2 linked regions of the Nothobranchius furzeri genome follow. The protein of the gene in region 1 purifies or fractionates together with the protein of each later gene. This does not show direct contact. Links are inferred from orthologs where the notes say so. Each region holds a gene or a part of one and is shown in the gene's direction. Other genes may lie near its edges. The genes, in order: ddx17 and drosha.

Evidence for each region.
Region 2: the proteins of ddx17 (region 1) and drosha purify together in Homo sapiens (co-immunoprecipitation; 3 studies listed by IntAct, with this or other methods). This does not show direct contact. The link is inferred for Nothobranchius furzeri from reciprocal best matches to the Homo sapiens genes DDX17 and DROSHA.

What each region holds. Positions count from the first base shown.
Region 1 is NC_091746.1:24,951,260-24,955,781, forward strand, and holds the start of ddx17 (probable ATP-dependent RNA helicase DDX17), read left to right. Parts: upstream 1-1,410; 5' UTR 1,411-1,610; coding exon 1,611-1,663; intron 1,664-3,287; coding exon 3,288-3,450; intron 3,451-3,538; coding exon 3,539-3,635; intron 3,636-3,775; coding exon 3,776-3,909; intron 3,910-3,992; coding exon 3,993-4,058; intron 4,059-4,160; coding exon 4,161-4,302; intron 4,303-4,522. Other genes in the region: ntan1 (protein N-terminal asparagine amidohydrolase), read right to left, coding at 199-301, 849-929. UniProt on the Homo sapiens protein: As an RNA helicase, unwinds RNA and alters RNA structures through ATP binding and hydrolysis.
Region 2 is NC_091747.1:62,198,236-62,202,051, reverse strand, and holds part of drosha (ribonuclease 3), read left to right. Parts: intron 1-1,042; coding exon 1,043-1,123; intron 1,124-1,468; coding exon 1,469-1,555; intron 1,556-1,639; coding exon 1,640-1,726; intron 1,727-3,688; coding exon 3,689-3,760; intron 3,761-3,816. UniProt on the Homo sapiens protein: Ribonuclease III double-stranded (ds) RNA-specific endoribonuclease that is involved in the initial step of microRNA (miRNA) biogenesis.

The sequences.
Region 1 (4,522 bases):
CTGGGCAACCCGCCTCCTGAGCTACTGCTGCCCCAAATCGTCTGTATTACAATTTGATGACTAATGCATGAGCATTCAGATCCAGGAAAAATAGATAAAGATATCTACCTGAAACACCTGAGTAGACAAATCAAATAATTGTGTCATAAAGTTTGTAACCAAACAGATTGATGCGTTCTGTGATAGGTTTGTATTTACCGTCTGCTGGAGTTGTTGTTGCAAACTCTCTTTGCTGAACATACAGGAGGCACTTTGGGTCCACTTCAACCAGAGGCCTGGAGCGAAAGGTTCTAGCATGTTCCTGTAACATAAGAACACATCATGCGTTACAACAACTTAAGTGCCTCATACCTGACAGGTAAAAGTTTTTGACCAGTCTTATTTGACCCCAGAGATTCTAGACGTGGGTTTGACAAGCAGTTCTTTAGGCTTTGGGTGTTTCCCATTATAATTTCCTACCCAGTCCTTGTACCTGATATGGTGAGTTGTGTACTTATGAGGAACAGAGGAAAGTGGTTAGAACAACAGAAGAGTCAGACCTTACAAGGGAAAAAAGGGCAGGCTATATTTAGTGTTTTAGTACTTTTGTACTTCTTTCTACCTGAATACAAAGAGGAAATCATTGTTATTAGCTTGCATCATTGTTTTGCTAGTGACTTGTACTATTTAAAACTAATTAAAACGTGTTTCTTATGATTAGGCAAAACAGCGATTTCTTTCAAATGCAAAAAACTTGATGGTGTGACATTCAGAAGAGTACAGTCTAATATAAAAGACTTAAACAGCGTTAACCGACGAAGTCAGTGTTTACTTGCTAAAATTATTGAACAGCTAATAGCCACACTAACCTGTAAATGTGGATATTTGCTGAACAACTCCTCTGTCGACCTTATGCGGCCAAGTTCTCTACCCTGAATGAACAAAGGCATTTCTTTAACGAGCGTCACTTGATAATCAGCTAGTTCATGCTTTAAAAATGTCAATAACTTAAAAACGTCACGTCCAAACGCCTGTCTGTCTCATCTCGACTTGAACTTCCTGCAGCTGTTGTCTTCTTCGTTTCCTCGTGAAACGCATGGACGACTCGGTGCAATGTCGCCCCCTTCTGGTTGATATACAGACCTTTTATTTTCTTGTTTACTAGAACCAGATAAAGATGTTTTAAACGCACTATTGTCCAGTTTAGCTTTTTTTCATTTATAGGTTGCAATACACATTTTTCTACGTTTTAGTTGTTAAACAAGCTCTCGTTTTCGACGACACCATTTTTTTGTTCTAATTGCATTCACCATTGCTTTTAGTCAGGTTACGTAAGTGCTAAGGCTTTTTTAGAGACGGCACCACTCACGACGCTACGTTAACGTACTAGCAGGAACAACGTCATCGGGTTTGAGAAAAACAAGCTAGGTTAGTTCGTGACGCATATAGCTGTTGTTGGTCACAATGTTATTGTAGCGTTGTTATTGCCTAATTCGTGTATTATAGTTCACTAGGATTTAATTTTTGTGTCTTTATCTAATTTGCATTTCTTTAATTCTGAACGCAACGTCAACAAATCGACTCCAGCTAACGCGAAAAATACTACGGGTAAGAATATTTGCGTTGCCGACATGAGAGGGGGTTCATCTTATGGAGACAGGGACAGAGACCGTGGACGAGACAGGTTAGTTATTGTTGTTGGTGATTTTCAAAACGCTTGATCTATTTGCCGTGAAATCATATGATCAACTGAGAATGAGAAAATTCCCGAAACTAAACACGAAGGCGCCAAAGGGGCCTAAAGACTGTTTTCAATTCATTTGACTCCTCTGTCTCACCAATGACGAGGTTTGTTTTCCTACTCTCGAGTCGTTGTAAAACCACTAAACAACGGCATCGGTGAAATGTGAAGAAGTTGGAGCTCGGCAGCTCAGTGAATAGATAGATGTTGGACCATGGTTGGGACTGAGGCCCTCTGGACTTTGTTTACGGATTTGTTGCTTTTAATAAGCAGATGTGTTTCTGAAAAATTGTGTTCAATAAACCAGGAAATAAACTCTCAAATCTGTAGATTTTAAACTAAACTCAAGTTCTCAAAATATGGAAAAATATATTTTTCCACAGGCAGAAAACACACACACACACACACACACACACACACACACACACAGGGTTCACTCTGAACTCTGACCCATATTGCTCAGTGGTGTTGAAAAACAACCAGTTTAGAAAGACATTCTTTGTATCTGGCGCCATCTAGTGGTCACATAGCCTGTGACTAAATCACCGCTGCTGGAGAATCTTTTCCAATAACCCTTTAGGCCCTAGGCCTTTTTTCTTTGGGCCCTGGCGCCTCCCAAACAATGGGGGCCTTTGGCGTTTCATGTCCCAAGTGTGAGTGATTGTTTGCATTCCCCGAGCACAGCTACAGCTACAATCAAAATAGTTTAGATAGTAAACAAAGCAATTTTTGGTTTCTGATACATTAAGATAAAATGATACTTGAACTTTATTTTAGAAGAGCTGCCCTGTGTAAACGTGCTGACAGGATGGAGGTTGTGAGTTCAAATTCCATTTAGGAAATTTAGTCAATTGTTGTATTTATTCCAGGGGTCCTCAACTACATTTGTTCAAGGTTTTTTTTTTCCAGCAGACACCAGAGAAGGTCAGATGCTCTTCTAAAGTAAAGTTCAAACATCATTGTATCTTAATTTATTACAATTTAAAATGGCCTTTTTTCCCACCTGGGCTGTTTGATTGTGGTTTTAGTTTGGAGTATGTGGACAGTAGTAGATGATTGGGACATGAAACTGTAGAGGCCCCCGGTTGGAGGGTGTTGGGGTTAAACAGGATGAATGTTTTGAGAAATTGTGTACGGTTACTGGATATTACCGCGGATAATGCTAATAAGGTTTATCATTTGTTATTCTGTATTTTTTTGTACTAGATTTTGTAAAAAAAAAAAAAAAAACATTTTAAATTCAGTCATTTAATCAAAACTTTCAAACTATGTCACTATTATATACTGTATACAACTATATCATGTGTTTTATCATGGTTTTATATTTACTACTCATGTATTGTTTTTGTGCTTGTTTGAGTGTTTTATTTCCTTTTACTGTACAATGACCTCGAGTTTTAGAACGATGCTTCAAATAAAGCTTGTTATTATTATTATTAGTAGTAGCATTACAGGTGCAGATAAAGATAAAAACCACAGGTGAAGCCCAAGTGTGGCGTTGACATCCGTCAACCTGCTCCTCGTACTAATTCCTCTGATTCTTCTTTTACCTCTTGAAACATCTCAGGCCAAGGTTTGGAGGGGGCATGGGTGGCCGCAACGGACCACCACCCATGAAGTTTGGTAACCCCGGTGAGCGTCTTCGCAAGAAAAGATGGAACCTGGATGAGCTGCCAAAGTTTGAAAAGAACTTCTACAACGAACACCCAGAGGTCCAACGAATGAGTCAGGTATGTTTCTTCTTCTTGCATACAGTTGTTTCAGAAGAACACAACACATTTCATGTCTCTTCTTCTATTTCTTGTTGCTTTATCCCAGTATGACATTGAAGAGATTCGCAGGAAGAAGGAGGTCACCGTCAGAGGCTCAGGCTGCCCAAAGCCTTTAACTGCTTTCCACCAGGCACATTTTCCTCGTGAGGGAACACACCTAATACTGCACACACAAATAATATTTAACAAATTCATCAACAATGAATTTTCTGTAAAACATCTAAGGGCTTAACATGTTAATACCTTCAATTGATGCTGATAATCTCCTGCTTTTGCCCTATAGAGTATGTGATGGATGTTCTGATGCATCAGAACTTCAAGGAGCCCACAGCGATCCAGTCCCAGGGTTTCCCTGTGGCCTTGAGCGGCAAGGACATGGTGGGAATCGCTCAGACGGGCTCTGGAAAGACACTGGCTGTAAGAATTCATCCCTGAAAGCCTATCATCATTAACAAATGGGCAATGACAGTTTAACATGATTGTTTTTTTGTTCCTTGCAGTACCTTCTTCCAGCTATTGTTCACATTAATCACCAGCCCTATCTGGAAAGGGGGGATGGTCCTATAGTGAGTACAAACGTGACACAACCTCAGACTGGAGATTTGCATCTAAATCTTAATGCTTGTGTGCACACAAAGCTAGCTGGTCATCATTCTGTATCCCTACAGTGTCTGGTCCTCGCTCCAACTAGAGAGCTGGCCCAGCAGGTTCAGCAGGTCGCTTTCGACTACGGCAAGTCATCCCGCATCAAAAGCACCTGCGTCTATGGTGGAGCACCAAAAGGGCCCCAGATTCGTGATCTTGAGCGTGGTGGGTATGGTTTTCAGTCGTTAGAATTGCACCTCGTTTACACCGAGGCCAGGGTTGGGAACACGTCATCAGTTTTTACTCCTGAGTATCCGCAACTGATGTTTTAGTTCCCTGGAGGCGTGGCTGCATGCTTGCACAGCAGTGGTGGGGAACCCCCGGTCCTTGAGGGCCGGTATCTAGTATGTTTCAGTTGTTGCCCTGCTCCAACACTCCTGATTCA
Region 2 (3,816 bases), on another chromosome or scaffold:
GGCCTGATGTTTGTTTTTAAAGAAGCTGCTATATGTGACTAATTTAGTTTCTTTAATGTTAAAGTTACCAAATTAAATGAATGAAATCCTTATTTAGCAGCATGCTAACTAGCATCGGGCTAACCACCAGCTGCTAAAACAGCAGCGATGTTTTAAATCCCACTTAATCCTCATTGTTCCGGTCTGCAGCCACGGACCTCCCCCGCTGTTCTGCTCAGAGAAACAGACCTAAACTAGTCGTGGAAACCGTTTTAGGCACAACACCTTCAGCATTAACAGTCGACCTCAAATAATATTCATGTTTTCATCGTTTGCAACAGCAGAAATAGTGCAGTAATGGTGCTGAGATGTAGCATCGACCCTTTTGTCACAATAATATTTAGTTTTATGAAACAGGGAGGTTAAAAGGTGCTTGGTTTAACTTTAGCAACAGTGTGAAGAACAAACTTCACCTCTGAACTCTTCGCACCTACTTCAACAACCGCTGCTTTTGTGATGAAGTGGTGAAAAGTTCAGAATGGGTGCTTGAAATCCTTGATGAGGCTTGAATTTAGTCTCTGCGAAGGCGTGAGAGCCTAATGTTTGTCCTCGAAGCTCTGATGGGATGTTTGCCTCCCCTGAAGCCTGCTGGGCTCACAGACGTGAGGTCAGACGATAAGCCCGACCCTAGGACCTAGTTTTATGGAGGACCATCCCTTCAAAGGGTTCTGTCGCTCTCAGTGGAGAGTTTCCGAGTTTTGGGCTGAATTTATCGTCTGGATTTATTTAATTTAGGAGCCAAATTAGGTTTGTCACGTTAAATTCAGAATATTTAAAGCCTGAGTGGATAAAAGGTGGTTTTCTCCTATAAACTTGGGTTGTTTGAGGTTCCTAACAAAGGCAGAACCTGCCAGGGAAACTTCAAACTCCCAACTTCAAAGTGCAGAAGAGACGTAAAGGTCGCCGTGCTGCAGTCCAGACATGTGAAGCGTTCCTCGGCCTTTGTGTTACACCTGGCAGGTGAAGCGGCGCTGTCCGATTCACGCATTTTCTTTCTGTCCAGATGAATGATGGCCCCCTGTGTAAGTGCAGCGCCAAGGCCAGACGCACCGGGATCCGCCACAGCATCTACCCAGGAGAGGAGGTGGGACACGGCGTGAATAAATCACCTCCGTTCATAACCTTCAGGCTGAGCCGCGGCGGGCCAAGGACGCCCCACACACACACACACACACACACACACACACACACACCCCGTTAACTCACCGTCATGAGCTAAACGGTGTTATATCTTAATAAATAGACTCGTGTCCTTATGACTGAGAACATTTTTATGAACGACTTTGAGGTTTTATGTCCAGTAAACAAACATTCATGATTTAATCCACTCATCCATTCACAATCCTCAGAAACATTCATGTTTTCCTCTTTAGTTGGTTTTACTGGGTCCAGTAACTGATGAGGGATCTTTCTGGTGTTTTGTCCCCAGCCCGTGAGGCAGTGCCGTCCGATGAACAACAACGCTGGGAAACTGTTCCACTACAGAATCACCGTGTCTCCTCCCACCAACTTCCTGGTAGGACGCCGTTCTCAACCGAAACGAGTGGTTTGGCTGTTTTTCTGTGTTTGTGACGCGAGTCTTTCTGTAATTGACTTCCAGACGGACCGGCCGACGGTGATCGAGTACGACGACCACGAGTACCTGTTTGAAGGCTTCTCTCTCTTCTCTCACACGCCCCTCACTAGCGTGAGTCTGAAAGTTGGAACGCCGTTCCCTCCAGAACTTGCACGAGGGTCTTAAAGCTCTCATTCATGCTTATTTCCTGTAGATTAGTCTGGTTTATAGAATGAATGAGTGAATGCCTTGTGAGCTATTTTCTGCTTCCTCCGCTCTTCCTTTTTTTTTCTCTCCACAAACAAGCGTCAACATGTTTGCCACTGTGTGAGGTTGCTAATGCTAATGGCTAGCTTTCACTAACCGAGACGCGCTCTGCTCTCTCCTTCCTGTGGGCGGTCCCAAGCCGAGGTGGGCGTGGTCATGAATGCAAATTACCGCTGTGACGTGGAGGAATCGTGCCTCGTTTTCCCGTCTGTTTCCTTTCTGCGTTCTTTTAGTCTGAACGATGGCAGCATCTTCCTACGCGTCTGGTTTGTTTTCTGTCCTATTTACTTCGGCTACGGAGGTTTCACAGTCAGCGCCATTGTTTTTTACTGGTACAGACCTGGAAATGTGCACGTGACTTTAAATCTGAAAGTCACCAGATGTTCCCACTGCTTTAGTGTTTGACTTCCTGTCTGGCCCGGTCTAACCTGCTGAGCGTGGCGTGTAAAAAAATAGACTCGAGTCGTGAATTTAGCAGAAGTGACGCGTCCCTACGCTTCTGGAACGTTAAACAAATGCGCTGCTTGCACTCTTCTGCTACTACGGCGGCTGGTTGCTGCGTACCTCACTTCACGGATGTGGGAAGGCCCGGCCAGAGTGGCCGATCACATATCTAAATGAACAAGGATTACACGGTTTCTATGGAAACCAGACCTTCAAACACTCCTCAGTGTAGTTTTGACTTTGTTCAGAAACAGCTGACTATAGTAGCTGTGATTTATGGGATTTCCATCGTTAGGATTTTATGTTTTTGGTCCTTTTTTAGCCGCTCCAACGGTCCGAAGGTTCGTCACAGTGGGCGTGACCTGCCGACCGCCTTCGATGTAAAGTATGCTTCGTCTTCTCTTGTTTTAGCATAATAATGTCTTGCTTGGTGTGAATCAGCCTGACAGATGCTCTGATCCACCATCAGCCTTGTTATCTCGGCCCAAGTGTCCACCAGCTGCTCAGGCAGGTTCTCACCCACCATCACAGGCGGGCGTCCTCCTCCACGCCTCAGCCTGCTAATGTTCGTCCTTCCTGCTGGAGTTTAAGTGAAAACCTCCTTTTTCCTAAAACACAACTTCAAATCATCCCTCGGCTTCGGGTCGACTCCTTTGTAGTTTGGACAAAGTGCTTCCCTCTCACAGGGCTGGCCTCGGTGTCCGTCAGCCATTGAAGAGGTTGCGATTTAACAGGAAGCCAGACGAAAACCCGACGGGGGTTTGCCAGGTTGGAGAAAACGTTCCCAACCTGCGGTGATTCGTGCTCCAGTCCGTTTAAATAATGTGATCAATATCTGCGCTGCAGCCCGGCGGATCAGGCCTGATTTACACCAGATAATTTCCACGGTGCTTTTTACAAGCCGGGGCAATCGTTTGGCGACAGAACGGGGATTAGAAACCTGAGAGCATGGCCATATTAGCTCCCTGCTAGTTAGCCGCTGAGATGGGCAGGAAGGAGCGTTGCTCCAGGTTAATCTCTCCGAATGAACCCCTGTGCTCCGACAACAAAGACCGTGTAACCGGGGAGATTAAACACAGACGAGCCGGCTTATCCTTTTAGCCAGATTTGAGTTGCTTAATTTCCAGGGCGCTCGTGTGTGTGTGTGTGCGTGTGTGTGGGGAGGCGCGCGCTCCATGGGAGGGTGGGTTTGTGGTATTATCAGAGGTTTTACATGTTTTTACACAATTTAGCATATAGTTTCCATACATGCACGTGGTTTCTGCAGAGAAAATGAGGTTTTAATGAGTTTCCTTGAGAAGCTGTAACCTCTGCCTGTCGCTGTGGTAATGAGACGCTCTGTCCTTTTCTTCTCCTCGTCCTCTGCTCCTTTCATCATCACAGATTCCATTGTGCCGAGTGATCCGCTTCAACATAGATTACACCATTCACTTCATAGAGGAGATGGCGCCGGAGGTCAGTCCAACAGCACTTTATCTCCCCGCTCTTTCTCACCCTCGTTGTTTTTATCT